Linked DNA regions of Stegostoma tigrinum. The protein of the gene in region 3 purifies or fractionates together with the protein of the main gene of each other region. This does not show direct contact. Links are inferred from orthologs where the notes say so. Each region holds a gene or a part of one and is shown on either strand. Other genes may lie near its edges.

Region 1 (7,388 bases), on a different chromosome or scaffold from region 3:
CATAAATCCTTAAGAATATAGAAGTTAATTAAAGAGCTGAGCATAAAATTCACAATTTCTTAGAGATTCACTCAAACCCCTTCATTTACCTCAACAGCTGACAACATTTAGACTGTTTTTACCAAGTTATCAACTAATTTCTTATGTATAGTCACAGTATACCAAGCAAGCAACTCTGTCCCTTTTAAGTCCCCAAATAAAGAAACCTGGTAAGATTATTCTATCTTGGATTTCTAAGAAAATAGTTGAGTTGTAAGATGAGGGGCTTGAGATGTCTCTTTTCAAGACTACTTTGAGTTGCGATTATAGGGTTATTTCTAATAGCTTGAAGTTGGTCAACTGCGTCGACAAAAAGTTTACTGTAGTTTAGTTCAATCAGCACAAAAAACACTACCAAATATTACACCATGGTGGCTCTCCTAACTGTTGGAAAAACTCATTCATCAGTGTTTTATCCTGTGGAAAGCTTTATGACATTAGCAGTGGAACAATCCCATCATGAATTAGTCTTAATGTATTATGATGAGGTAACTTGTTTCATTCAGATGCCCACAATCATCCATATTACAGAGATTAACAGGTCGACTTTCTGAAGTTAAACAAATATACAGCCCTCGTTTATTGGAAAATGACGCTTCGAGCCTTTTAGCATCTTAATGTGGCTAGATTCCTTCAGTGAAACGTTGGAAAATTCATCCCTTGATTGTGGAATATTACCCAAAAGAGAGCACTTGTTCTGGAAAAGATGGTGACTTATCTCATGAAGGCAGAGGCTCAGAGCAGTCATTTACACTCAGCAGAGGAAAAAAATGTGGTCATTGCTGCTATACAAGAAACACAGTGGCCAGTATGTGCTCAGCAAAATCCTACGAACAGTAATGTGACAACGACAAGATCATCCAGTTATGTTACAGACAAGCAACATTTTAAACTAACAATATTTTCACCCACCAGTATGCATGTACTGCTGCAGAACGAAACATGATACAACAGACCCAACAGCCTAACATATTCTACTCTATCAGGAAAGGACAGATAGGTTAGAAATACAAGCCCTGGTTTTACCTTCAATGTATTTGTAACTGGACTTATGCATGTGGTTAATCTACAAACAAACACTTATGCAGGAGTGTTAGAATGGTGCTGTAATAAATTTGCAGCTTGTCAAACCTCAAAACATAGAATTTGACAACACTCCAGGGTGAGAGATGTTCACGTACTTGACGTTCCTGTCAATACCAAACTGGCCGGCATGCAAGACCCATTATTATAGCATCATAGAGCTGTACAGCATGGAAACCTTGTTGCAAACAGACCCTTCAGTCCAACTCATCCATGCCAATCAGATATCCTAAATAAATCTAGTCCCATTTGCCAGCATTTGGCCCACATCCCTCTAAACCCTTCCTATTCATATACACATCCAGGTACCTTTTAAATTTTGTAAGCATACCAGCCTCCACCATTTCCTCTGACAGCTCATTCCATACATGCACCAGCCTTCGCATGAAAAGGTGGCCCCTCAGGTCCCTTTCAAATCTTTCCCTCCTCACCTTTAACCTATGCCCTCTAGTTTTGGATTCCCCACACTGGGGAAAAGACCTTGACTATTCACCCCTTCCATGCCCCTCATAACATTATAAACCTCTAAGGTCACCCCTCAGCCTTTTGAAACAAACAGTGAAGGTTTTTATCCTTGAACCTTGAAAGCCATGATGTATATCACAACGCAACGTACACCTATAGGGTTAGTATGCTCAGTAGTCTTGAAACATTGAAGTTCTTTTTACCGCAAAAGTTTAAAAAAGTTCCTTTCCAGAGAAGGCGTTAATTTCATAACGTACAATGTAAACTGGCTTAGACTGACAGGCTCATTTTCCTGTCCATAACACGTTATATAAAATGAAAAAGATTGCAAGCTTGCAAATATTAAGCAAACCATCAGTGATTATAACCATTTTCAACAAAGGTCAAAATTAAACTTGATGAAGCATGAGAATATCAGAAGATAACACTCAAGAGGGTCTGTCAACATAAGTCTGTATTAGTTTAACAACACGTGTTAAACTGAACTAAGCAAAACTTTCTACCATTATAATTGAACAGGAAGGGGATTCAGATGATAATTTACAGCATCAATTCAAATTAAAAAGTCTAGATGCAGGTTATGATCAAGTAGGCCAAATTATCAACACTACTACTTTCTTGGCTCTTTTAAGAATAAAGCCAACATACGTTGACTGTCGGTGCATCCACATCTGAACTTATTTACAAGCTGTCGAAGCAATCCGGTAAGAAATTTCTGCCTGCACGTTAGACTGTGATAAACAGTGTTATTCCAGGAAACGAAATTGAAAGTCGACTGGCTGACCAGTGAAACATATTGAACAACAAAAACAAATTGGTTCCGAAGGAGGGTCACTACACCCAAAACGTTAACTCTGCTTTCTCTGCACAGACACTGCCAGACGTATTGAATTTCTCCAGCAATTTCGTTTATTGTTTCATATCTCCAGCATCCGCAGGTCATATAGTTCTTTTCGGTCAATATCTGGCATCAGCAAAGACACCACCCTCTGGAAGCACTACATTCGAGCAGCTAACCCCACCACACGGACAACGGGCCGGTAGCAGGTCCCCGATTCTGAGAGAACCATCTTCGAGTAACTAAGCCCCGCGAAGGGAAAAAGCAGTGCCTCAGGGGACAGCCAATCTACGGTGGAGGTCCCAGTAAACAAGGCCTGGACTCCGGATTAAAGCGATTCACTCCACCCAACCTCCAGGATTCCCGGGTAACACCCGCCCAGCCCCAGTAAGTCAGCCGCTTCCAGGGCTTCACGCAGCCTTTAAACAAAGCGGCCCGGGCTCTATACTTACCGGAGACCCGGTCCAGCTTTAGCATATCCCGCAGGTGCTGTGTAGCATTCTCAATATCCATCTTAGACGCCTGGCTGAGTGGCGACGGCAGCGGCCCGAAAACCAGAGGGATGCGCACGCAGCCACCCCGCCAAACAGTCGGCGGTGCCACGGACAAACAGGTCTCTTCCGGTGTAATCACAAACTCTCCCTCTGACTGCCGAACCCCAGCCCAACGGACCGTCCTGGAGCGATACGATGCACCCCGTCACCAAATAACTTTGTACTCCTAAATGAATAACAAGGTTCATTCACGCCTGATATGATGATGTACCAATGGATGCATATGTAAGTTTCACGAAGAAAAGGGAAACATGTTGCAGAGAAAAAAAGATCATACGGTGTGAAATGGAATGCTAATTTAGGTTAAGGGATGGACCTCCAGAAATGCAGGACCAAACATTTGGAGGCAGAAAGCAGAGACTAGTGGCAGCTTTGAGTTGAGAATGTGTCATGCTTTTGGGACGGTTCAATATGCTCTCAAGTCGGAAGACAATGCAGGACAATATAACAAAAACAGAAGTTGCTGTTTTGAACAGTTCTGAGGAAAGGTCACTGAAACCAAAACGTTAACTGTTGATTTCTCGCCACAGATGCTGCCAGACCTGCTGAGCTTTTCCAGCAATTTCTCTTTTTCTTTCAGATTTCCAGCATCCGCAGTTTTTTTCGGATTTTATTTCCTGTCTAGTGCAGAACAATTTAAATCTGAAAACATCAATAAGAAGGAAGGAAATAGATCTTTAAGGAAATTTAACCAAAATATATAAACAGATTGAAAAAGTTTCTTCAGATATTTTTAAAAAGTTAACAAAGCAAAAAGAAGTAGCCCATGAAACAATTGATGCATTGGTTTTAATTTCCCAAAACTGATTTGATTCAGGGAAGGTTTCTTTAGATTGAAAAATAAGTAGTCTAACTCCATTCGTCAAAAAAGGAAGGGAAGCAGGAAACTGGAAATTACAGGCCAATTAACATTATTTATCGTTGGGAAAATGCTTCCGTCTATTATAAAAGATGGTACAACAAGACATGTGGATAAATTCAAGGTAATCAGGAAGGTAGAGAAAGATCCCAGAGAGAGGTATAAGTAGATTGTTGACAGTCAGCCAGGGAAGAAAAAAAGCTAAATAGTTGATAACAGAGACTATGCGTGTGTAAAAATAAGTTGGCTATGCTGAAAGATAAGGATGGAGTTGTTTAGGTTCTAAAATTATTGAACTTTATATATATATGAGTCCTGAAGGCTGCAAAGTCACACATGGAAAATGAGATGCTGTTCGTCTACCTTTTGCTGAGCCTTGCTAGAGAACGGCAGCAGCTGAAAAAGAAGGTTAGCATGTGTTGAATTGAGAGGTAACAGGAAGCTTATGGTCATTTTTTACAGACAGAACATAGGTGATAGTGAGTTTTGAGAAGATTTGTAGCTCAGGTTGAGGTTCTGGCTGTGAGTTGCTCGCTGAGCTGGAAGGTTAGTTTTCAGACGTTTCGTCACCATTCTAGGTAACATCATCAGTGAGCCTCCGATGAGGTGGTGTTCTACAAAGCGGTCACCTTGCTTGTATTTCGTCTCCCCCATGTAGTGGGGACTGCATTGTGAACAGTGAATACAGTCGACTAGATTGAGTGAAGTGCCGATAAATTGCTGCTTCACCTGGAAGGGGTGTCAAGGACCTAGAAGAGTGAGGAAATTGTAGGTAAACAGACAAGCGTTGCAAGTTCTGTGATTTCATGAGAAGGTGTTGGAATTGGAGAAGGAGGAGAGAGCAGGGTGTCCCAGAGGGAACGGTCCCAGGGAAAGCTGACAAGGGAGGGGAGGGGAGGGCAAGAGAAGGTATATCTCATAGTGCCAACCTGCTGTAGCTGGTAGAAATGTCTGCTCATTGTGCTTTGGATGCAGAGGCCAGTGAGATGGAAAGTAGAGATTGGGGGACCGTATTGTTGATGTGGGAAGGAAGAGAAGGGGGTTGGCAGAAGTGCAGGTGATAGGTCTGACTTGGCTAAGGGCACTGTCAACCACAGGGGTGGGAAATCCTTGGTTGAGTAAGAAAACGGAGTAACTTTTCACCAGATGCTATCAATTCTGAAAAAGGATTATTCTGTTTTCCCTCCACAGACATGGCCAGATTTTGCAATTTTCTCCAGCAATTTCTGTTCCTGTTCCAGATACTTACCGTTGGTTTGGTATTATCCTAAACCAATAACTTAAAATTACAGAAAATAATTATCAATTGAATAGAAAATTCGCAGACCTTTTTGCACGATCCTGCCATGACTTCAGTGAGAATGCAATGGATTAACTGCAGACTAGGCAACATCTAGATCCCGATCTGGGATGAGAGTTTCCTAACACCTGATCAAGTCAGAGGTCCGAGTTTCTCCTCAGCACAAACACAGCTATCAGCAAACAGGCGTTGTTCTAAAGCTGGAAGTTCTCACTTCCCAGCCTTGGTTAAAAGATGGAGCAGACTGAGTGACACAGAGTGTGACCTGGCCTAACAGCTCATTGAATGGCAAGTGTGTGAACTTAGCTAATATTCAAGCCTGAATCAAAGCGAGAAGAATCATACCAGACACGAAACATTAACCCTGTTTCTCTCTGCACAAATGCAGCCAAATCTTAAGTTTTCCAGTAACTTCTATTTTTTATTTGAGTAAAGAAGGTTTTGTTTTGTTACATAGAGTCCGAGGGTGCATTGGTGACTGCTTCCACTGCCCAGTATAGTGTATGTTAATTTAAGTATGAAGCTCCCACAACATGCAGACAGCCAAATGTATCTCAAGTGGTTAATATGCAATAGACTTAGATAAAAGAATCGTGACAACTTTGGTACTCTCACTACCACTGTATAGAAAAGGTATACCTCAGCACTGCCATATCAGTGCAGCTACCATATTACTATCCGTGATGTAAACATTGATACAGGGTTCAAGAAATGATTTTCCCTCATAGTTGTATCAGTGGGTTGAAAGCAGAAGCTAGGACTCCAAATGGACCAACATTCTTCCCCACATCGCATTCTCCAGACATTATGCTGACTGAAAATACCATGCATTGTTCTCATTTCTGAACATTTGTGTCATAAACAGATGATACTGGATCCAGAATGAAGTCACAGACTGGCTTACTTGGATTTCTTATGTCATAATGACACAAGTAAGCTTCTCCCCCTTCTAAGCAAAGTGCAGTAGTGTTTCATAGCTCACATCATTGTATAATTGTTTTTGCATATAGGTGATGATTAGGCTATTTACTGACCCTTTCTCCATTTGTTGGTACCGGTTTGTTCTGGTTTTATAGTCCATGTTATTTGCTTTCTTGTTTCCATACATCAAGTTGTTTGACTTGTCCTTCTTCTCCCTGGTTCTACATAGGATACCTTCAATGATTCCCAGGACCTTTGACCAGCTATCCTAACATTACACCAACATATCATGCATAAACGTAGAAGATTGTCTAGACCTCCCTTCGTCTGTTTTCATCTTGTAGGTAATTCTCATTATATATTTCTCCCTGTAACTTTTAAATGCCTCACTGAATATTCTTTTCATTTTAAATTTTACTCACTTATCAACCACTATTTCAGTTTCCCATTGGATTATGAGTCAGTATACTGGCAATTTGATGTTTTCTTGTTCTTCAGGCCACAATAAGCATTGTGTCAAATAACTGAAAACTCTGAAACCCAGTCTGCAGGGCATTTTCACCATGATCCCCTCATGTTAGTTACTTCGGATCTAAAAATCAGTTCAGCACCTTTATAGTCATCCTAACGTCATGCCACACATGCTTGACTTTCAAGTGATATTCAAAAATCGAAAGTGGTGTAGGAGTGCTTGTATCTCCTCCCTGTTTGGTCCCAGTGTTTTAGTGACTAAAGCATTCACTTAAGTTGTCTTTTACAAAAGGTCATGGTCAAGGGCACACATATTTCCAAGTGAAAGCTCCCAGTTAATTTCAATATCAATTAATTAATCACCTCTACTTTCTTTTCATGTGATTTAACAACGCCTGTCATTATAGTTTAATTCTAAGTGTGCAGTCCCTTGCTTGCCTGATTTTCCCTGATTCAGGAGCTCTCGAAAAACATTATTTGTCCTGTTTAAAAGAAAATGTTTTCATAACATCTTTAAAACCAATGAAACATGGCCGCGTGGTTCAAGGCATTACTAAATACTATTTATTGTTGTTCTTTGTGTTCAAAAAAAATCTCAAAAGTAACTTGCTAAACTTTCTTATTTTATAGGGATTCCAAAAACTGTGAAAAATTCAAATTTATGACCAGCCTCAGCTGTTGGATAATAGGTTTTGTGATAAATTTATTTCTTCACAAACAATCATTCCTTTTCTTTCTAAAAAAAAACTTAACAACATCCAGGCAACTTCCGTTAAAATATTTTAATTTAAAACAAGTCTGCTCTGGCATACATGTGACTCCAGACCCACAGCAACGTGGCTGACTCCGAATTGCCCT
Region 2 (8,014 bases), on a different chromosome or scaffold from region 3:
GAATCAACCAAGTGAATCTCCTCTGCACCCCCTCCAGTGCTAGTATATCTCTTCTCAAGTAAGGAGACGAAAACTGCACACTGTACTCCAGGTGTGGCCTCACTAGGCCCCTATACAGCTGCAGCATTGCCTCCCTGTTTTTAAACTCTATCCTTCTAGCAATGACAGACAAAATTCCATTTGCCTTTTTAATTACCTGCTGCACCTGCAATCCTACTTTTAGCGATTCATGCACAAGGACACCCAAGTCCCTCTGCACAGCAGCATGCTGCAATTTTTTACCCCTTAAAGCATAGTCCACTTTGCTGTTATTCCTACCAAAATGGATGAACTCACACTTATCAACATCGTACTCCATCTGCCAGACCTTTGCCCACTCACTTAGACAACTGAGATTCCTCTGCAGACTTTCAGTGTCTGCTGCACACTTTGCTTGAGCCACTCATCTTAGTGTCATCTGCAAATTTTGACACACCACACTCAGTCCCCAACTCCAAATCATCTACGCAAATTGTAAACAATTGCGGTCCCAACACTGATCCCTGAGGCACACCACTGGCCACTGACTGCCAACCAGAAAAACACCCATTTATCCCTACTCTTGTTTTCTACTCGTCAACCAATCCTCTATCCACGCCAATATAGTACATGTAATACCGTGCAACTTTATCTTATGTAGCAGCCTTTGGTGTGGCACCCCGTCAGAAGCCTCCTGGAACTCCAGATACACCACATCCACAGGTTCCCCATTGTCCACCATCCAAATGATGTCTTCAAAAAATTGCACTAAATTAGTTAAACATGGCCTACCCTTCATGAACCCATGCTGGGTTTTCCCAATGGGACAATTTATATGCAGATGTCTTGCTATTTCTTCCTTAATGATAGATTCAAGCATTTTCCCCAATACAGAAGTTGAGCTAACTGGTCAACAGTTACCTGCTTTTTGTCCACTTCACTTTTTTAAACAGTGCTGTCACATTGGCTGTTTTCCAATTTGTGGGAACCACCCCAGAGTCCAGTGAATTTTGGTAAATAATTACTAGTGCATTTACTATTTCCCCCATCACCTCTTTTAGTACCCTGGGGTGCATCTCATCAGGTCCAGGAGACTTGTCTACGTTTAGCACCCATTAGTTTGCCCAGCACTGCCTCCTGAGTGATAATGATAGTTTCAAGGTCCTCTCCTGCTATAACCTTTTTGCCTTTCGTTTTCGGCATGTTATTTGTGTCTTCCACTGTGAAGACCGACACAAAATAACTGCCTCGGCTATTCCCTCATTTCCAGTTATTGAATTGACCTTCTCATCCTCTCAAGGACCAATGTTTACCTTTGCCACTCTTTTACGACATGCATATTTTGCTGCCTGTTCTTATATTCTGAGCTATTTTACTCTCAGAATCTATCTTACTTTTCTTTATAACTTCTTTGTGGCTTTCAGTTGACCTTTAAAGATTTCCCAGTCTACTAGTTTCCCACTACTCTTTGCTTTTTTGTATGTTTTTTTTAATCTGATACTTTCCTTTATTTCCTTAAACATCCATGGCTGACTATTTCTTTCCCTACAGTTCTTCCTTATCACTGGAATATACTTCTGCTGAGCACTGCGAAAAATCAATTTGAAAGTCCCCCACTGTTCCTCAATTGACCCAGCATAAAGTTTTTGCTTCCATTCTACCTTAGCTAACTCCTCCCTCATCCCATCATAGACTCTTTTGTTTAAGCACAGGACATTGGCACTGGATTTAACCTTCTCACACTCCATCTGTATTTTAAATCTGTATTTTAGGGCAGCTTGGTGGCTCAGTGGTTAGCACCGCAGCCTCACAGCACCAGGGACCCAGGTTCGATTTCAACCTCAGGTTACTGTCTGTGCAGAGTTTGCACATTCTCCCCATGTCTGCATGGGTTTCCTCCGGGTCCTTCTGGTTTCCTCCCACAGTCCAAAGATGTGCAGGCTAGGTGGATTGGCCATGTAGTGTTCAGGGTGTGTGGATTATAGGGGGATGGGTCTGGGTGGGATGCTCCAAGGAGCAGTGTGGACTTATTGGGCAGAAGGGTCTGTTTCCACACTGTAGGGAATTAATCTAAATTTGACCATACTATGATTGTGCCTTCCAAGAGGATCTCTAACTGTGAGATCATTAATTATTCCTGTCTCATTGCACAGGCCTAGATCTAGCATAGCTTGCTCCCTCGTAGGTTCCATTACATATTGTTCAAAGAAATTATCGTGGATGCATTCTCTGAGCCCCTCCTCAAGGCTGCCATGACTGACCTGGTTTGACCAATCGATACGTGGATTAAAATCCCCCATGATAATTGCTGTACCATTTTTACATGCATTAGCTATTTCTATGTTTATTGCTCGCCCCACCACAATGTCATTATTTGGTGGCCTATAGACCACACCTATCAGTGACTTATACTCCCTGCTATTCCTAATTTCCACCCAAATGGATTCAACCTTTTATTCAGTAGAGCCTATATCATCTCTCACTACCACCCTGATCTCATCCTTAAAAATCAGAGAGACACCACCTCCCTTACCTTCCTGTCTGTCCTTCCGAACAGTTTGATAGCCCTGGATATTTAACTCCCAGTCATGACCATCCTGCAACCGTGTCTCTGTAATGGCCACTAAATCGTACCCATTTGCCATGATTTGCACCACCAATTCACCCACCTTGTTTCGGATGCTCCAAGCATTCAGATAAAGTGCCCTTATGCCAGGTTTTGCACCCTTTTTCTGAGTCCTATCACCTCCATTACTAACAGCTCTTCAGTTCTCTTGAAGCTTCGTCCACCTACAGACATGCTGTTTTGCTTCCCTGTACGCTCACTCCTCCCTTCCCCCGTACTTACTAGTTTAAAGTGCTGTTGACCACCCTATTTACCCTTGTCACCAGATTAGAACAGGTTGATTAAAATATCTACAACTAGCTAGGCCACACTGACATAGAGTTATAGCAATAATTTGTATTTATGTGGTGTTGTAATATAATAAACATTCCGAGACATTTCATAAAATATAACAGTGAAACATAGTATGAGTTACTTAGGGAAATGATCAAAAACTTCAAAGATATAGTTTTTAACTTGTGACTTAAACGAGGAAGGTAGAGAGGTGGGTAGATGGATGTGGAGGGAATCCAGAGCTTAGGGATTGGCAGTTGAAGGTATGGCCACCAATGGTGGTGTGATTAAAATCAGGGATCCTCAAAAAATCAGAATTAAGCTTGCATTACCTCAGAGGACTTGTGGAGCTGGAACACATTATAAATAGTGATCAACAAGCTAGAGAAGAATTTTAACACGAGGGTAAAAATCAACATCCTGGGAGTTACCAATGACTAGAAATGAACTAGATACTGTGTAAATACTGGGGCTACAAGTGCAGGTCAGAGGCTGGGAATTCTGTGCCAAGAGACTTACTTCCTGACTCCCATAAGTCTACCTACCATCTACAGGATACAATCCAGGAGTGTAATGGAACACTGTTCACTTGCCTAAATACACAGCTTAAGAAATTTGACACCACCCAAGATAAAGTACCAGTATGATCAGTACACAATCCATCACCTTAAAATTCACTCCCTCTAGTGCAGACATACAATGGCAGCATTATATTCCATCCCAAAGATGCACTGCATCAGGTGGCTATGCCTCCTTTGAAAGCACCTTCCAAACATAAGACCTCATCCAGAATGACAAGCAGATGCACTGGAACACCACCATCACCCTCAATTTCACATCAAGCTATACAACATTCTGACTTGAAACAATATCACTGTTCTTTCACTCTTTCTGAGTCAAAAATATGGAACTTCCCTCCTAACAGTCCTGTGGGGGTATCTACATCCCATGGACTACAAAGGTTCAAGAAGGCGCTCACCGTCATCCTCTCAAGGGCAGGGCAACAAATATGCTCACGTCTCATTGAAGAATAACACAAAATCAGAAAACTGTTTAGTAGAGGTTGCCATGTAAAAACTGACTGCTTCATTTCTCATGTTGCATCTGTCAGGAACTAGGCTGTAATTGGCTGCAAATCTCAATGAGACATCTGATTATCATGCAAAGCACTATATAAATGCAAGTCCACTCTGCAGTGATAGGGTGGGAGGGGAATTAAACTAAAATACTAAGATGTTGTGAATAATAATAATAATAATAATAATAGCTGCTCAGACCACATTCCACCTGTGGTGGTTCATGAAGATTTGCCTTGCTTATACTAGAGTCAGAGCCAATGGGAACTGCAGATGCTGGAGAATCCGAGATAACAAAGTGTGGGGCTGGATGAACACAGCAGGCCCAGCAGCATCTCAGGAGCACAAAAGCTGGCGTTTCAGGCCTCGACCCTTCATCAGAAAAGCATTTGCATTTGCTGATGAAGGGTCGAGGCCCAAAACGTCGGCTTTTGTGCTCCTGAGATGCTGCTTGGCCTGCTGGGTTCATCCAGCCTCACACTTTGTGGAGGCAAAATGGTTCTCCTCAAGGCATTTACACTCAGCTAAATGCCTATGCTTCCTGAATGGACTTTGAATAAAGAACTTCCAGTAAGTGCTCACAACCTATGAATGTACAAAAAAATATAAGATTATGGTGTTGTTTAACTGTGGCTAGTGTAGCCGAGGGAAGCAGAGGGGTAGTTATCAAATCAGAGCTCATGGTACAAAATAAAGCCAACCATTCCAAAATAGTCCTCGTATCTGTATTTCAAAATAATCACCTCGAAAAGACGTATTAAACACTTCCTGTGGCAAAACATTCCATGCTCCGACATTTTTTTTAAACTTCGAGCAATTGTCAGGAATACTCGAACAGAATGGGGAATTTGAAGGGACATGTAAGTGAGACCACTCAACGTGGATGGATTCAATTTCCAAATCCTTGCGACATCTCGATGGAAAATGGAGCTGCCAGGAGAGGGCGCGAACTTGCTGCTGCAACAACAACAACAGCATCAGCAAACAGCGATACAAATGCAGGAAAAAAAAACAAAGCAAACCATGACAAATCCAGGAGGGAAGAGAGGAAAATAAGTGACCAAGAGCAACAGTAACAAAAAAAATTTCCCAAATTACTCTGGGCTAAAATCAAGGCACACATTGCATGGGGTGGGGGGCAGATCACGTGGTAGGACAATTTCGCCCGACACGCCACCAATAAACTTAAATTAAATTCTTATACTGATGACAAATTCTGACAGTTTGTAGTTGATTTATTGAGTTTGATGAGGTAACCCAGATGTTTTTTGGGGGTGGGATAGCTTTAAAAGTCAACTGATTGATTCGGGCTCGGCCGATGACGTTGGGCCGAGGGAGAAGACGCCATATTGGAATCGGGCAGACAAAAAAAGCGAATAAACATAAGCAGAGTCGGAGAGAAATCGTCGCCATCGAGGGTTTGTTCAATGATGTTTTTTTCTTAACACTTTTATTCGAGTGTCAGGAGTTAGGATGTGATTTTATTTTTGGAAACGGTCGCTTACCTGCTGTTATTTATGAAGCTGCGTAGGATGTTGATTATTTTTTCCTCTCTTCCGTTGGCCGTTGCTTTGCTGTAAGGCCACAAACACTCTGTTTTGTCGTTTTTTTTTTGTTTTAATGTGTTTGACCGTGTCTTTTAAAATTTCGTGTTTTGAATCCAGTTTTTTTAAATTATGCGTTTTTCGCGAATATGTCGAAAGATTTCGTTAAATGTCTTCTGAAAATTGTAATTTACTTAATTTCTGATAATGCTGTCGAGACTTGTTTTTCTCTTTATGAATTTTTTAGGAAGTGTTTGAGCTTAGGCTGTTCCTTTTTTTTCGGGGTGACGGAGTGGTAGAAGGCGGCCGGAATTTTATGAGCGAACTGGTGTAAATATTGACCCTTTTCTCCCTCACTTCACTCTTTCTTGTAAACTATAGCTTCTCACTCCGTCTGCTGGCTGGTAAAAGTACATAAATATCTATCTTGCATATTAAATAAAGCGCGTGGATTTTTGTTTACTCCTGTGAAGCTAGATTTTTCTGTTCCAGTTTTCGTTCTGTTTATGTCACTACAATGTGACAGATGGTGTTGGGCCTTTAGGGTTTTAAACATCATAATCTTGCTGTTGTTCCAAAAAAGATAAAAAGCTAACAATAGTTTGGAATGTTGATACTTTCTTTAATTTCAAGCGATAGAACTTATTTTTAAAATTAAAAATGTCTAAGCTGTACTAGAAATTCTACCTCAATGGCTAAGGTTAAGGTTAAGTTCTTGTAATTGAAGTTTCTGCAGCCCTTGGTTGTTTTTAAGGACGGTTATCAACTTTCATTTAAATTTGTTTACATTACATTGCCAAAGTTTGCTATCTTGATTTTTATGTTGTGAATGCAATCTTGTGTAGATGGGATAAAGATAAATTTGTTACAAAATATTAGAAAAATAGTGACTACTTGTACATCACTTTTTTTCGTGGTAAAACATCCCCAGGCACCAGAACGTTTGTTTTGACAATGATACCAAAGCACAAAGAAGTTCCCATTGGTAAAATTTGAGCAAGGAGGTGGGTTTTAAGGAGTACCTTAAAGGAAGGAAATAAGGTTGACAAGGTTTTGGAAGTTGAATTCAAACTTTTTTGTTTCAAAATTGGTTGATTATCTGCTTTGATTTTTCCCTCCCTGCTTAATACATAAGACATTTAATGTCCTTTTCGGGAAGGAAACTGCCATCCTTACCTAGTCTGGCTTATGTGTGACTCCAGACCCACAGCCATATGGTTGACTCTGAACTGCTGTCTGTGCAGTTAGGGATGGGCAATAAATGCTGCCTAGCCAGTGGTACCCTCATCCTCTTAATTGTTTAAAAAAAATTTTAAAAATTGAGTGTTCAATCCCTCTTACGTAACCATGTTTGATTTTTGGAAGGTTGATATATGTTTGGAATATTGTACCGATGATTTTTGTTTTGAGGTTATTTAACTTAGTCTGTTTGAACAAGTGCATTCTGATTTGTCCATGCTGTTCAGTTTAACTAAGTTTTTCAATTTTGGAGGCAGAAGTGATAGGATAGAATAGAATAGAATGGAGTAGCGCAAAGTCAGCAATTAATTCAGTGTTTAGTATAGATGTGTTTCAACTTATTGAAACAGTTTAAAATACCTGCCTTTGCCCTTTATACACTAGTTATTAGTCTATTCCACTGCAAAAAGAGCCAGTGGCAAGTTTTAATAATGTTAACTACCTATGTCCAATGCAATGTCGAACTTGTTGTAAATTGGATGAAAATGATTAGGTCCAGATCAGTATTATAAAATGGCAAGCTATTTGATTACTTGGAAGCTGGCAAAATAACAGTTTTCTTACTGTACATAAAATATGCTGCAGGCCATTTGGCCTGACCAGTCCATGGCAGTCTTAATTCTCCATGACACCTCCCATCTCTACCTGCTCTAAATCTATTATCGTAATTCTCTAGTCTATCTCCCTCATGCCCGTCTATCATTTCCCCTGAAATACATCTAATCATTTGCTTCAACCACTCGTATGGTAGTGCTTTCCACGTACTGGCCTTTATCGTGCAAGAGTTTTTCTGAATTCCATATTCTATTTCTTGACTTACCTTATATTGATGGCCTTTAGTTATGCTTTTTGCTACCAAGCAGAATCATTCTCTATGTCCACTATATAAAGTGATGAAAGGTTTTGATAGAAACATGTAGTTCACCTCCCAGCTTGTGTTTTGAAAGGAGATCCAGGCTGTTCACTGTTTTGATATGTGTATTATATGCATGTGTATTGTTATAATCGAGGGCACCAAGGCTCCTAGTTCCTGCATCTGTGCTGTCCTGTCCTAGTGCTTCTGGATCGAAGATGACTTGCTTCCTCTTCCTTCTCCAACTTAATAGATTTTGACATTTCTGATCAGTCTGACTGTTCTGTCCCATGCAAAACAACTTGTGCGTGAAGGATAGGTAGATAGTTGCTCAGAAGTTTGCGTACTGTCCTGATATCTTCTGTCTCTGTGTTCCTGAGTTAGG
Region 3 (7,962 bases):
TTGGGGCTGGGGATGGGGGTGATAGGAGAGGTATAGGAGCTGGTGTAGCACTTCCTGCTGTTGCAGGGAAAAGTGGTGGTGGTGGTGCGGCTGGTGGGGAGTATGGAGCGGACAAGGGAGTCATGGAGAGAGTGCTCCCTCCAGAAAGCAGAAAGGATTGGGAAGAAAAAATTGTCTTTGGTAGCGGGGTCAGATTGCAGATGGCGGAAGTGCCAGAGGATGATATGTTGGATCCAGAGGTTGGTGGGGGTGGTGCGTGAGGATGAGGGGAATTCTGTTTTGATTGTTATTGCGGGGAGCGGGGTTGTGAGGGATGAGTTGTGGGAAATGTGAGAGACACGGTCGAGGGCATTTTCAACCACTGTTGAAGTTGTGCTGCTTGAAAAATAAGGATATCTGGGATGTCCGAAAGTGGAATGCCTCATCTCGGGAGCAGATTTGGCAGAGGCAAAGGAATTGGGAATAGGGGATGGCATTTTTGTGGGAAGTTGAATAATAGGAGATGTATTCTAGGAGGTGGGAACACGAGGCGGTGCCCACGAGGAGCTCGTTTCCAACTCTGGCAACCACTTCAAAACCGATATCCATTTCAAGCCTACTGACTCCCACAGCTACCTGTGGAAACAGGGAGGTCCAGGAAGGAGAGAGAGGTATTGGAGATGGTTCAGGTGAACTTAAGGTTGGGGTGGAAGGTGTTAACGAAGTGGATGAACTGTTGAGCACTTTGTGCGCAAAACGTCCTGTTCCTACCTAGAATTTCCCGCAACTCATCCCTCACACCCCCTCCCCGCAATACCTACCAAAACAGAATTCCCCTCATCCTCACATACTACCCCACCAACCTCCGGATCCAACGCATCATCCTCCGGCACTTCCACCATCTGTAATCTGACCCCACTACCAAAGACATTTTCTCCTCCCCACCCTTATCTGCTTTTTGGAGGGACCACTTGCTCCATGACTCCCTTGTCCACTCCACACTCCCCACCAGCCCCACCACACCCAGCACTTTTCCCTGCAAACACAGGATGTGCTGCACCTCCCCCCTCATCTCCATCCCAGGCCCCAAGAAGATCTTCCATATCAAACAGATGTTCACCTGCACATCTGCTAATGTGATACACTGTATCCACTGTTCCCGATGTGACCTCCTCTCCATCGGGTGAAACCAAGCGGAGGCTTGGGGACCGCTTTATGGAACACCCACGCTCCGTTCGCAACAAATGACCGTACCTTCCATTGCAAACCATTTCAATTCCCCGTCCCACTCCTCGGATGAAATGTCCATCCTGGGTCTCCTGCAGTGCCACAAAGATGCCACCCGAAGGTTGCAGCAACAGCATCTCATATTTCATTTGGGAACCCTGCAGGCCAATGGTATCAATGCGGATTTCACAAGCTTCAAAATCTCCCCTCCCCCAACCGCATCCCAAAACCAGCCCAGCTTGTCCCTGCCTCCCTAACCTGTCCTTCCTCCCACCTATCCACTCCTCCCACCTCAGGCCCCACTTCCATCTCCTACCTAGCAGCCTCATCCCACCTCCTTGACCTGTCCGTCCTCCCTGGTCTGAGCTATGCCCTCCGTAACTCCCAACCTACACTCACCTTTACTGGCTCTGACCTGTCTGTCTCCTGTCCACCTATCCTCTTCTTTATCCATCTTCTATCCGCCTCTCCCTCTCTCCCTATTTACATCAGAATTCCCCTCCCTGTCCCTATATCTGAAGAAGGGTCTAGACCTGAAATGTCAGCTTTCCTGCTGCTCTGATGCTGCTTGGCCTGCTGTGTTCATCCGGCTCGACACTTTGTTATCTCTCAACATTAAACCTTCTGTTTTTGGAGCAAGACAAATTTCATAAATACTTGTTCCGAGGAAGGGTCACCAGACCCGAAACGTTAACTCTTTTTTCTCCTCTGCAGATGCTACCAGACTTGCTGAGCTTTTCCAGCAACTTTGTTGTTGTTCATAAATACTTGTATGCTGTAGTTTCACACAGTCAAAGCTGATCATAAGCCATTGAGAGCTATTTTGAATCTAAAGTCAGCAATATCCATTTCAATAACAGCCAGAAAGCAGAAATGGACTTTGATTTTGTCTGCCTAACAGTGAAATGTTAAGTACAAGCAATTGGAAGGTCATTATATTACCAAAGCTTTGTCTGGATTAGCATCCTCATCTGAGATAGAGACCAATATGGATGATGCATTTTGTTTTGCAGATATTAATGAGTTGCCAGTCACTCTGGAAGACATCATGTATTGGCACCGGTATACAACTACATCACGAATGGATGACAACACAAACTCTATTCCAACCTTCTCTGTCAGGCAGAAGAAACAGAAGCTTGGATACTTGCACCAACAGGTTCAAGAACAGCTTCTTCCCTGCTGTTATTTGACTGCTGAATGGACTGCTCAAATTTCAAACCTAAAGTTGATCTTGCTTTGTGCACCTCCTGTGTAGCTGTAACCTTGTATGCCTTGCTCTGTCTAAGCACCCTATGATCTGTACGTCTTTGTTTGCTAATGATCTGCCTGTGCTGCTCATAAAACAAAGTGTTTCACCGTACTTAGGTACATGTGGCAACAATAAAGCAAATGAAAATCAAAAGAAACTAATCAGAAGAGCACGCATCCAGTCTTATGTACAAAGAAGAAGTTACTGGCCAGACAGGATGTCTATTAGCTGAACCTCAACTATCTTCAATTGTCAGAATAAGAGTGTCACAGGGGACTGTGCCTTTCTAGGTAGGTTGGCACAGACCTATTACCTATGTTGGAAAATCAATTGAGCCACATCAGAAATGGCTCAATGCCTGTGGCATGAAAGGTCTATGTGGTGCTGAATTTCTATGTCTCAGGATCACAGCTGAGAATACTGAATGATTTAGGGACATTTCTGGATAGTCCAGATGCAGGTTATCATGCATGTTGTCAACAAGCTTCCACAAACCAGGCAACAGCCTTTATCAGCGGAAGACCTTCTGCACAATGTGCATTTCATCTGTGCAACATTTCAGTCAAGCAACTGTGCCACATACATACTTAGGAAAGACTAGGTGTCAGACCCAATTAGGTACCCAAATATTTGTTCCATCCATGTTCAAGGATGAAACTGGTTGACAAGGGCTGTTCATTAAAGAAACAGCTAACAATGCCTATAAGGCATCCAACAAATATATGCAGTGGATAAATACAACATCTTCTGGGGTTAACTCAAACAATTATCAAGCAGGCCATGGGACGATTCCAATGATAGCTTGATTGCTCTAGTGGAGTCTTCCAAAATGTCACAGAAAGAGTGCTATGTGCCCTGCATAACTGATTACAAAAGACCTCCAGTATTGATGGACACCGATGTTCCATCTCCATGGACACCAGAGCATGGATATATCCAAGAAAAAAGAATCAGATAGTTGGGTCAAATAACTTCCTCAACAGTTCACTGATGGACCTGTTAATTACCAGGCCCATGAGCATGCTAAAAAATAAGTTCTTCAATCTGACTACCCCACATTGCACTGGATGGCTAAGATGTAACAAAATGTTGAGAACAGCCCTCAAATATTGAAAGAGGACATACATTATTGTATAGTGTACATAAATATATCACACAGGCTCCTCAAGACAAGAGAGTAGACAAGATTCACGCCTGCCCCTGAGGTACCCAATGGTTGCAGAAGGTCTCAAATATACTCCCCAGGAGCCCTTGCCACCTCCAGATGGCAGAACATTATGCTACAGTATGTTTCAGTAGCTGATGAGGAAGTTTCTCTGTATAGAATCTTGCTTTGGACTATGGGAAACACAACAGGAGCATTCATCCAAGATTGAAACATGGGACCTGATGCACATTCACTCAACAGAAGTCCTAAAGGAAGAACCCATGTCCCTAGACTAAGGGGTCAACCTCATAGTCTTTTTATGTCTCTTATCAATCTCAAACCACTGCCCATTCCCAATCCTACTTCCTTATGTATCCTGCCAGAAAACAAAACTCTTCTGATTCACGTACAGTTACACTTTCAAAATCATTATCACGCTAAACTTGAAAAGTGCAGATGAACAATCTCCATTGCTCAACTCTTAATAAGCAACTGTGCAATTTTAGAGGCCTGTCAATTGCTACATGTTTGAAATAATTATTTATTGAAGTAGTTTAATTTCACAAAACTTGAGTATTGCCAAAAACAGGAAAAATTTGTTAATTTTGAAAATTTTCTGAATAAGGGTCTAGACCCGAAACGTCAGATTCTCCAGCATCGGCAGTGCCTACTATTCTTCTCGCCAGCAATTTCTGTTTTATTGTTCTGATTTCCAGCACTCGCAGTTTTTTTTAATATAGAGGAAATGTGAGTTTTTGTGGTCGAGTAGCATCCCTCTGGCATTCTATAATGTGTAGAAAAAGAAAATCAAGAATGACTCTCCAAAATAAATCAATGTGTGCACACGAAGCAGTTATTTGTATATCAGGGTACGGCCAGGACTTCGCAGTGAGTTACGTACGCGAAGTGATTCTTATAACTGACTGAAATTCGAATTAAATAACACGCGAACTGCTCCTTACTGTATTTGCACCTGTTTACTGTACCACTTAATCATACGCATACGTTTGCTATTTTTAATGGGATACCTCACCATTTATAAGATTGATGACTAAAAATCTCCCAAAGCTTTGCCGCTGTTATTCCTGCGGATTACCAGGGCTACGCCGGTGCAATAAATTTACTTATGAGCTACACTTATTAACGATACGTTGATGTGTCTGATTTAACAAGTGGTAGTGACACGTTCACTTTGGAATAAGTAATGGTGAGGCACGAGGGACAAATGACGGCTGCAAAATAGTCACAGAAGAATTTTTCAAAATCCTTATTGTAAAGGGAGGGGTAATGCTCGATCTTCACAATTTTATCCCTCATTTAAAAAAACTGCGTTAATGTTTTACCGATGTGAAGCGGAAGAGAAAAAAGCTCCATTTGAATCTGCAAACTGGAAGTGTTGAGGCGTGCGGATATTTTGCTGCAGTGAATGGTTTGTCTTTCCGGGAAGAAGGTCAGGGGGAGGGAACATTTCTTGAGTTTCTCCTTTACACAACTCAGGAAATCCAACATGGAGGCCCTGAGTAAAGGCCGCGATATAAGCCTTTCTGCCTTGAAACAAAATGACCCTTTCATCTCCAGCATCGTCGATGTGACCAGCCAGGTTGCGTTGTATACTTTTAACCCAAAGGCCAGTGAGTGGGTAAGATGGTGTTTCTTCATTTCGTGCTGGGGATGAGGAAAAAGAATAACCAAAACGGCAGCGATCTTTATGAACTGCTTTACTTGCCTGGGAAGCCTTTTGAAGTTTTCGACGGGCGGCTGTGTCTCTGCATTTTGCTTTTGGCCCTGCAGCACAAATTTGTTCAAGTCTAATATCTTGAAGGTCTGAGTGTTGAAGTTAAATAAGAAGGTAGAAACTTAACGGTCAACATTAAACAGCTTGAAGACCTTTTTATACTCTAATTCCATACTGATTCATGTTGCATACGAAACTATTCGCACCAGACTTCATCCTGCGCTATGAAACATAACCTTCTGTCACTTTCATTCTCTTATATTTATCCAATGTCTTTCCTTAATCATCAAATAACATTACTAAAGTTTCTTGAAAAGGCTCAAGTGGCTTGAGACTAGCATTGAATTGTGATGTCCGTATGCTCTTCCTCAGCCAAATCCTTCAGTTTCTTTGGTTAAGAAAAATCGATTGACCTTACAGCAGTTACTATTGGACGAAGAGTCCAAACTTTTCACTCTTTGTCTGTAAAATGTGTTTCTTAACTGCACTCCTGCAAGGCCTGGTTCATACTCTTAGATGTACAATACCTTTGTAATCAGACTCACTGACCAGTAGAAATAACTTCTCTACACCTTTTTACTTGTTCCCACTAACGTTATAAATGGTCAAGAATACAGGCTTAATGTGATTTGTCCGTTTGAGTTTTAATCTGTACAGTCCAGGCAGCATGACCAACTGTTATGAAATGATCGAAGGGACACTTCATCTGGGGTTGATGGGGTTTTCAAGAAATTCCATGAATGAAAATAATGTGGAATTAGAGCCTGTCATCTGCATGTTTGGCTGCTCTTTGAGTATTTTGCCAACAGCTTGGGGTTAATGGGAACACATTGCAACTACACCAAGCCACAATGGGAATTGAAAGAAGTGACTGTAGTTTGTCTTTTTGACTACCTCATGAAAGGTACAGAAATGTAGGACAAATGATATCTCTGGAAATGCAAGTGACCCAATTCTGTTGGGTCACTGAGCCCCTGAATCAATCTGGTAAAACCTGTACTCCACTCTTTCCAAATCTAACGTATCTTTGCTATGGTGTCACTCTTAAACTGCATGTAGTATTTCAGGGCTTTGCATTACTGAACCATACTTGCCTATGTTGAAATTCATTTGATAATTTTGTTAAATCACATGAAATTAGATACGTCCTTTTTATACAACATATATTGTCTATTTTATGTTTTCTGGACAAGCTTGGATGTGTGGATTCCTATTATGCTAAATCAATAGAATATCTACGTTTTCATCATCAGACTCATGGCATCCTGCAATTTTTGTTTTGAATTTGCTATGAAGTATAGTATTTAAAATTGAAACAGTTTGAAAATTCAAATATCATTTTTAAGTTTATGCTTCAAAGAATAGCTCAATAAGATTTCATACTTTAAAACTTGTTGTCACAATTGACTAAAATATATTAAGACTATAAGTTGCTGACAAAATGGAAACAAACAATTTTGGGGAAGTGTCACAGTGCACAAGGAGGCCATTGTGTCTTTACGAGTACATTAATGAGCATCACTATAAGGTGCCAATCTCCTGCTTCGCCCCCACCCTGTGTAACATTCCACATAATTTGGATAGAAATAATCTCCCAAAACCCTCTTGAGTGTCTCAATGGAACCAGATTTCACCACGCTTCAGCTTGTACGTTCCAGACCCTAATTTCCTGCTAATTGAAAAATATTGTCCTCAGTTCTCCCTGGTTCTTTGCAGGTCACTTTAAGTTTATTCCCTTCTGTACTTGCTTTTTTTTTCACAAGTGTGAGTTGTTTTTCCCTATTTGCTGTATCCAATTCACTCATGATTTTGAAAATTTTCCATCATATCTACTCTTAGGACTGTTCTCCTTGCAGAGAAGAAGGCTAACTACTTAAGTTACGAAGGTAGATTGAAGTTCCTCATCCTTAGAACTATTTTTATAAATAGATTCTACGCTCTTTTCAATGCTTTGACGTTCTTTGTAATATGGTGCCAGTTCTGTGCAACATACTCAAGCTGAGATCTAAAAAGTGTCTTGTACAAGTCTATCTCCTTGCTATTGACCCAGTTAATAAGACCAAGGACTATGTACTTTTTACTTATTGCTGTCTCTATACCTGTCTTAGCACTTTCAATGACTTCTGCACATAGGCTCCCAGGTCTATCTACTCCTACACTCCCTTAGAATTCTACCCATTATTTTAGATTGTCTTTCAGTATGTTCTTCCCACCAAAATTCTTCTCTACATTGTCATTTATTGCCCCTATCGTAAACTTGCTAGTGAAATTAACACTACCATCCTTGCATTTTACAATTCTTGCAAGTTTTGTGTTCTCTGAAAACTTTGAAATTTAACTCCTGCACACAAAACCTAGATTATTTAATATATATATTTCAAGAACGAATTACTTGGATCTAGTCCTTGAGACTAAAAGGATCACAAGGTATGGGGAGAAAGTGAAAACATGATACTGAGTGGGATGATCCGCCATGATCATATTGAATTTTAAAGGGCCCACATAGCCTACGCCTGTTCCTACTTTCTGTGCCTCTATATTAGTAGAGGAAAGATCACAATGCTGACCCATGGAACTGAATTGCAAATCTGCCTACAACCCCAAAAAAATCTATTGACCATA
Region 4 (6,840 bases), on a different chromosome or scaffold from region 3:
GAATATGATTTAGCTATACTATAAATTGCAATTTTCACTAGAAGGGAAGTCTCATTGGCCCTGTGTGCATCTTGGTTCAGTGCAGGTTCATTTAGTCAATCATCCAGTCACCTTAGAAATCCAGTAAAATACCCACAATGAAACAGACAATACTTGCCACAGTACAACGATACAATCAGAAAGCAGGATCAGAAATACTAAGAATTTTCCCACCTTCCAAAGTGGAAGTGTCAGAAATTTAGATCAGCTGACAAGTATGTAACACACAGCTCATTATTTCAATCTGCTGCAATGATTGGGAAAATTGATGAGGGAAGTTATCAAAAAGCTTAAAAGTTTGTCAACTGTTGAGAGATCAACATTTAGAGGATCCACAAAACTTGTCTGTTAACCAGGAGGTACGGTGTTTACCAAAGACCAAAAACTATGCTCCTCCTCCAGCCAAGGCGTTATAGATGAATTTGGTGGAAATTTTTAAAAAAATCTTCACATTACATATTAAAACACCCAGTAAGATGAAAGTGCATCTTGCTGATGGTACGTAGTATCCTTCAGTAGTGCAGATAAAAGCAGTGCTTGAATCATTCTATCTTTCGCCCATAGTCTATTTCACGGTCAAGAACATATTGCAGATTGTCAAACATCTTTACAAGGGAGTACACAACTCTTCAGCTGTTAGTTTTTGCATTCAGTGAATAACTTGCAATGCTTGAGCCTTTAACTTCAGTTTTCCCATTTATATACAAAATATAAAAATTTAACTCTGCCCACCAACTGGCATAGGGCAACAAATTCTCGTATGAAATTATAATTCCTTTCTTTCAAATTGAGTATACGAAAATATACAAATAATTACATGGTTTACACTAATATACAGAATTCCACTTCATTACTAGCACCACTTGCATACGGTTATCCCACAATCACAAGGAGGAAGTTACAATTGTCTAAAATGCAGGACTTTCTGCTGCAACAAGTCCAATCCTGACAGAAACATTCTTAATTTTTTCGTCTAGTACAATGTTTAAGTTAACCTGAACTACTCTTGAATTACACATTAACCTTGAGTAAAGTTTTTAAGTGGACAGTCATTATTTCCTTACTCTCATCAGGATACTCAGCATGTGCTCCTACCCAATGACTGGGCGGTTTAGGTAGAACACTGGGTGATGGTGGCTCACTAAACTTTGGCCCAGCATAGTTTTGATCTCCTTGAAGGCTCAGCACAGACTTCAGTCCAACTTTCAGTAATTTTAGATTCTTTGAGTGGTGTGCAGAAACAATCGGTTTTTCTCCATCTTTTTTGACAGTATTGCAGTGTTCAACAGAAGGAGCATTCTGATTATGGCTGTTTTCATTCCTCTTTATTGAAGTTTTTCTCAACTGTAGGCTACGTCTGTTTCTTTTCTTGGCATTTAAAGGTTGGCAATACTCTTCTGTTTTATTTACACTATATATGAATTGTGTGTGTGGAATTATTGCTTTATCCGATCTTCCCATGTTGGATTTGGTCACCTGGGGCAGAAAACAAAAAAAAGAGAAAGGCTGCAAAATTTGAGAGAGCTAACAGCCATAAGTGTTTTTCTACGTTCTTAGTGAATGCCCCAGTGGGGAATTCCCTCTTTTATGCCGTTATCCGTGAAACTGGACAATCTAACAAAAACGATTAAGATCAGCTCCGTTTATCGAACTCCTATCATCTTACGAAGAGATTCTTCTCGCTGTACCTCAAGAAGATAGTTAAGGAATGGGGGACGGGGGTGGGACAGGGGGAAGAGAAGAAAAGGAGCGGAGAGGGAGATTTGACAACTTGCGAGAAGTCTCGGCACTGACCCTGCCCCTGCCCCCCGGAACCTCGTGAACCGTCACCTGGGGAACGGCTGGCTCTGTCGCCATTGGTCGGTGGATGAACTATGCTGATTGGCCACTTGTTGCTGGGGTGGGCGAGGAGGGAAAGGGGAGGGCGCGCGGCGTAACAGCCGTCGAACGGCCGCAGCGTTTAAACAGGGCCCTTCCCGCCCTGAAGGCAAGGCTAGGACTACTAACCGAGAACGGCGAATGTTTCCCACTTACCTCCCCCCTTATTAATTCCTAAACAGTGGGATGCAGGGCAGGCACGTAGAGGCATCAACTTTCTTGTCTCTCACCTTTACTTCCTTCTTGCGCTCTTCCGCGGTCAAGCAGCCGCCACTGGCTGGTGTCGTTTTCTCGATCCCGGAGGCTGGTGCGGGCCCTCCAGCCCCACCGCCTCGGGAAACCGGCCGCCCGTGAGAGTGTCTCTGCAGCAGCGCGGCGGAGGAAGAGCAGCGAATCTTCCAGGCTCGACTCACCGCGGCAGCTTTGCCGGGATGCTGTTGGGGATATTGCTGATGATGATGCTGCTGCTGGCTGGAGTGCGGGTGACGGTGGCGGCTCACAACGACGGTCTTTGAGGCTGCATTGACGGGCGGAGGGCCTGGCGGTGGTCGGGGTAGGGGTAACGGGTGCATGGGGACTCGCCGCCGCCGCCTCTTCCTCCGCTTACGACTTCTGGCTAAAATCCCGAACTCAGCATCTGAGGTGCGACGTTCAACGAAGGAGGCGGTCACCATGCAATGCCAAAAAACGTCTAATTCTTCCAAAGTAATTGTTGAGAAGCAAAGGAGGGGGTGGGTCCGGGGAAAGAGGAGAGTCACTGGCCTACCTCCAGATAATAAATACAGCTCGTCGTCGGATTAAAAGTTGAGTGAAAATGGCGGCCACTGAAGCGACTTCCTGCGATTGTTCGGTCACTCGCAAAACCTTCCTACCTCAGACTCTAGCTTTCCTCCCAACGCAAGCTATATATATATATATATATATATGTATATGTCGCTGGCTGGGTTTAATAACAGGCAAAGACTAAGAGGCCGACTCCAGCTTATAAACAGCACGAAGAACCATGGAGGCAACAGTCTTACACTTCTGACAACAACGGGGGGGGGGAATGGAGAAGGCAGGCGATCGCGACACGTCATCACTCACCGGTACCCACCAATGGTAGCGCGTTGTGGTGGTGCCACGTGACTAAAGACTTGGTCGCGCCGTCCCGTCCCGCCCTGTTCTTGCCCTTAGCAACCATGATGTCATTGGTCTGAGAGACGAGCCCGGATGCGGCAACGGGTATTGAAGTTGGGCGCAGGCGCACATAAGTCTGTCGCTTGTCTAATTTCTTGCAGTCGTACGTGTAACCTTTTTAACTATTTGTTTTGCCGTACTTGCTTACAGTTCCCTGTTTCCGTGAAGACCGTTGGAATTGAGTTTTGTGTATGTGGGCAGTGAAATGATCATCACGTGACGGTAATTTCCGTCTCTGGGGCGGTGACGTCTGCGCTGTCGGACGTCCTGAAACCTGTCAGTCCATTCAGATCGAAATTCGAATTCTTGCTCAATGACACGTGGTGTGGCGATGATTTCCACTGTTTTTGCTGTGGGATTTCCCTAAATTCCCCGGGAATACGGGAAATTGTACTCGTTGACACGCAACGAATTTCCTAAAACCGAAGAAGCGTTCTTTGACTAAAACGCTAATTGATTTCTGAACTTCCTTACGTTGACATTGTGTAACATAAATATCAGTCAATAAAATGATTATTTTCAGAAGAAAAACACGATTCATTCCATTTTCCCCCTGTACTTCCGTAAAACTTCCAATAGCTTTCTATTTCTTATACGAAAAGCACGTCCTCAGCCCGGGTATTCGAATGCGTTCAGGAATTTGCCTTAAACATTGCCACCTCCCCAAGGCAATGAGTTTATGCTTTTGATTCTGACGCAATCTATAGCCCTAGGAGCACCAATGCTTTGGAAGAGTTTTGCAATTTCATATCATAGAAATTAACCCTTTAAAAGTGATCTTCAAGCACCATCTTTGTAAGGACATTCTCTAGTCTGCACTGCTTTGGAACATTTTATTACTGTTTCCTACTCGCTACCCAATCGTTCACAGGCGATCAGCCACTAATGAATTTCTGGATAAATAATTGTACGAGTGGAATTAACGTTGAAGTTATTTCTGGATCAGGCAAGTACCTTCGAGGTGTGTCACAGCATATCCAAACAGGTTTATTAAACATTGGCAAGAGATGAGCAAAAAAAACTTTTTGAGTCACTAATTTGGGTTGAAGATAAGATCCTAACTTTTTGCAGACGCTATTTAGATACTTAACACTAAAATGTATTTAAAAATTATATATTCTAGTTTTTGTTTAAGTTTGTAGTCCTTGGTTTAAACATGGATTCTACTTGTGACTAGAATTTAAAAAGTACAACTATCATAAAATTACAAGGCAATTATTGTTCAGCAAGGCTGTTTTGTCTATCTTAATTTATCTAGCTATAAACATCTTAATTTTAATAAATTACTTTTCACATGCAAAATTAATTTCTTCTTATTCATTTGTGTGGTGTGGGCGTCACTGGCTGGCCAGTATTTCTTGCCCGTCCCTAGTATTTCTTGATAGCAATCAAATATGTTTAAGAGTCTGAACTGGTGTCCCATACATTCTACTCAATCAATTTGATTTATTCTATGCAGTGAATATCTAGCTCATGTTTAGAATATATTTCAGTTTTAGAATACAATTAAGAATTAAAGTTTAACTGGAAAAATTGAGATAAATGCAATTTATAGTTGAAACATCTGATGTTGTTTAAAATGTTGGTGCATGTTGCCTTCAGAGGTTAACATCTAGAAAGGTAATATCATAAAACTGTCAGTAAGCTTATTTTGTGAAAAGTTGGAGATGTGCAGCTCAGAGAAATAGCAAGAGCTGCAGATGCTGGAGTCAGAAATAACAATGTGGAGCTGGGGAAGTACAGTGGGCCAGACAGCATCAGAGGAGCAGGAAATTTGACGTTTGGGTCAGGACCGAAAATGTCAACTTTCCTTCGGTTGAGAGAGATGTAAATTAACTAAGCTTGAAACAGTTCAGTAAATCCTAAAAGGTTGGAAAACCCAATTACTTCATATTAAAGAAGGTATTATAAATTAAAGGAAAGCTGGAGGAATCCCTTTCTTCATGAAGCTTGCTCTATCACTCAAGCAGCTCATGGCTGATCTACTTCAACATTATTTTCCCACAGTCTTCATTTTCGTTTATTATTAATAGCTGCAAGTCTATTGATCTTGCACTTGAATATTTTCAATAACTTATATTTTCCACACTTCTCTCAAGTACAGACTTTCAAAGATTTATGATTGTCTCAATGAATAAAAACTTGTCCTCATCTCAGTTTTAAACTCATTCTGAGACTGCAAGTTAATTTAAACATCAATTTTAGTATAACTCAGAGCAGGCTATATCAGCCTGGTGATGGATAGAGTGCAATCAGTTTTTCTAGTTTCAGTTTGTCACAAACGTTTCCTCAGAAAGTTAGTTGCAGAGTTTACCTCATGTGGTTTGCAGAAGGTGGTTAAATAAATGTTAAGACCTGCATTGTAAGCTATTTTCATCATTGACCATTACGTGGGTGAGATTTAAATTCCGTTTTAATTTTGTGAGGGATTAGAAGATGGAAGATTGTCGAGTTTGAAGGCAGTAGTTCCTCTCAGTGTTATTGCAAAAGAAACTGGAGCAGTTTGGAATACTGGAAAAGTAACCAGAACAAAGGACTGAGGTAATCAGATTTTTTTTTTTAAAAATTAACAACTCCTAGGGAGATTGTCACAACTACTGTTCTCACACCAATTAGGATAACCTTAGATGCCTCCTTTCCTGTCCTCAATTTTTCCTTATAAGTCAAACATTTGAGATTATGAATCAGTCCTTTCTCTTCACCAGTTCTAATGCTTGAATATCTCACCCTTGTGGTTCATTAACTAGATTTGAAAGAACTGATTAAGCATAAAGTAAAACAGAAGAGAATTTGACTTTATTTTTTGAAAGGAATCCAATTAGTTCCACTTACTTGCCCCTTCTGTATATCTTTGCTAAATATAGTCATTGAACCCTGCTTTCCCCACTGTTTCAGACAGCTTATTTATTTTTATGAACTTGCAGCATTCGTATTTTCTCTTATGTCCTTGTTATGATTGAATCTTCCTGTGGTCATGATGTCTGGGAGCAGGAATGCTACCCCTGATACCACAAAATCTCCAAAAGCCACTTTTAATCAAGTGTTTTGACATACCTTTGGGGCAAATAATACTTGAAGTTAGATTCTACCACTGTACCACAAAGACTTCTCCATTTCTCACTTCATGTTGCCTGTAAGTATTTTGGGAATTATCCTAAATCTGTGTCTTTTGGTAGCTCGTTCTTTTGCCAATGAAGAGTTTTGGAAATATGGCTCCATGTTGTAGAGCTAGTGCATGCATTAGTTATGATTTTCCAATAATTTCTTGAATGGTCCTAGTCAACATACAGACAAGGAGCAGGAGTGAGCTATCCAACTCATTAAGTTTGTTCTGCCATTCAATTAGATTATGATTGAATTTGTTTTAGATTTTGTAAGAATGCAGGCTTGTGTATTTCCTGAATGATGACACGTCATGTTAGTCATGATGTGGAGGTAGCGGTGTTGGAATGTGGTGGACAAAGTCAAAAATCACAACACCAGGTTATAGTCCAACAGGTTTTTTTTGAAATCACAAGTTTTGGAGCATAGCCCTTTCGTCAGGTGAAATGAGAGAGAAGGACACTGACACAGAATTTATATGCAGAAAGATCAAGCGCAGAAAGTTCAAAAGAACATATAAATGATGTGAGTGGAGTGTCAAATAATAAGTTTCTGCATGTGATCAAAAGTGTCAGTCTGTGTCAGTATAGTGTCAACAGTTGAATTGCAAGCGAAGGGATCCGATTTATTTATTTATCATGT

Evidence for each region.
Region 1: the proteins of dcp1a (region 3) and edc4 purify together in Homo sapiens (co-immunoprecipitation; 9 studies listed by BioGRID and IntAct, with this or other methods). This does not show direct contact. The link is inferred for Stegostoma tigrinum from reciprocal best matches to the Homo sapiens genes DCP1A and EDC4.
Region 2: the proteins of dcp1a (region 3) and ddx6 purify together in Homo sapiens (affinity purification with mass spectrometry; 8 studies listed by BioGRID and IntAct, counting the BioPlex papers as one, with this or other methods). This does not show direct contact. The link is inferred for Stegostoma tigrinum from reciprocal best matches to the Homo sapiens genes DCP1A and DDX6.
Region 4: the proteins of dcp1a (region 3) and pnrc1 purify together in Homo sapiens (affinity purification with mass spectrometry; 3 studies listed by BioGRID and IntAct, with this or other methods). This does not show direct contact. The link is inferred for Stegostoma tigrinum from reciprocal best matches to the Homo sapiens genes DCP1A and PNRC1.

Annotation. Positions count from the first base shown.
Region 1 is NC_081369.1:18,117,094-18,124,481, forward strand, and holds the start of edc4 (enhancer of mRNA-decapping protein 4), read right to left. Parts: upstream 3,019-7,388; 5' UTR 2,939-3,018; coding exon 2,878-2,938; intron 1-2,877. UniProt on the Homo sapiens protein: In the process of mRNA degradation, seems to play a role in mRNA decapping. Component of a complex containing DCP2 and DCP1A which functions in decapping of ARE-containing mRNAs. Promotes complex formation between DCP1A and DCP2.
Region 2 is NC_081385.1:2,254,036-2,262,049, reverse strand, and holds the start of ddx6 (probable ATP-dependent RNA helicase ddx6), read left to right. Parts: upstream 1-5,007; 5' UTR 5,008-5,411; intron 5,412-8,014.
Region 3 is NC_081364.1:29,252,683-29,260,644, reverse strand, and holds the start of dcp1a (mRNA-decapping enzyme 1A), read left to right. Parts: upstream 1-4,959; 5' UTR 4,960-5,031; coding exon 5,032-5,244; intron 5,245-7,962. UniProt on the Homo sapiens protein: Necessary for the degradation of mRNAs, both in normal mRNA turnover and in nonsense-mediated mRNA decay. Removes the 7-methyl guanine cap structure from mRNA molecules, yielding a 5'-phosphorylated mRNA fragment and 7m-GDP.
Region 4 is NC_081357.1:40,544,287-40,551,126, reverse strand, and holds the start of pnrc1 (proline-rich nuclear receptor coactivator 1), read right to left. Parts: upstream 3,011-6,840; 5' UTR 2,592-3,010; coding exon 2,148-2,591; intron 1,516-2,147; coding exon 1,051-1,515; 3' UTR 1-1,050. UniProt on the Homo sapiens protein: Nuclear receptor coactivator. May play a role in signal transduction.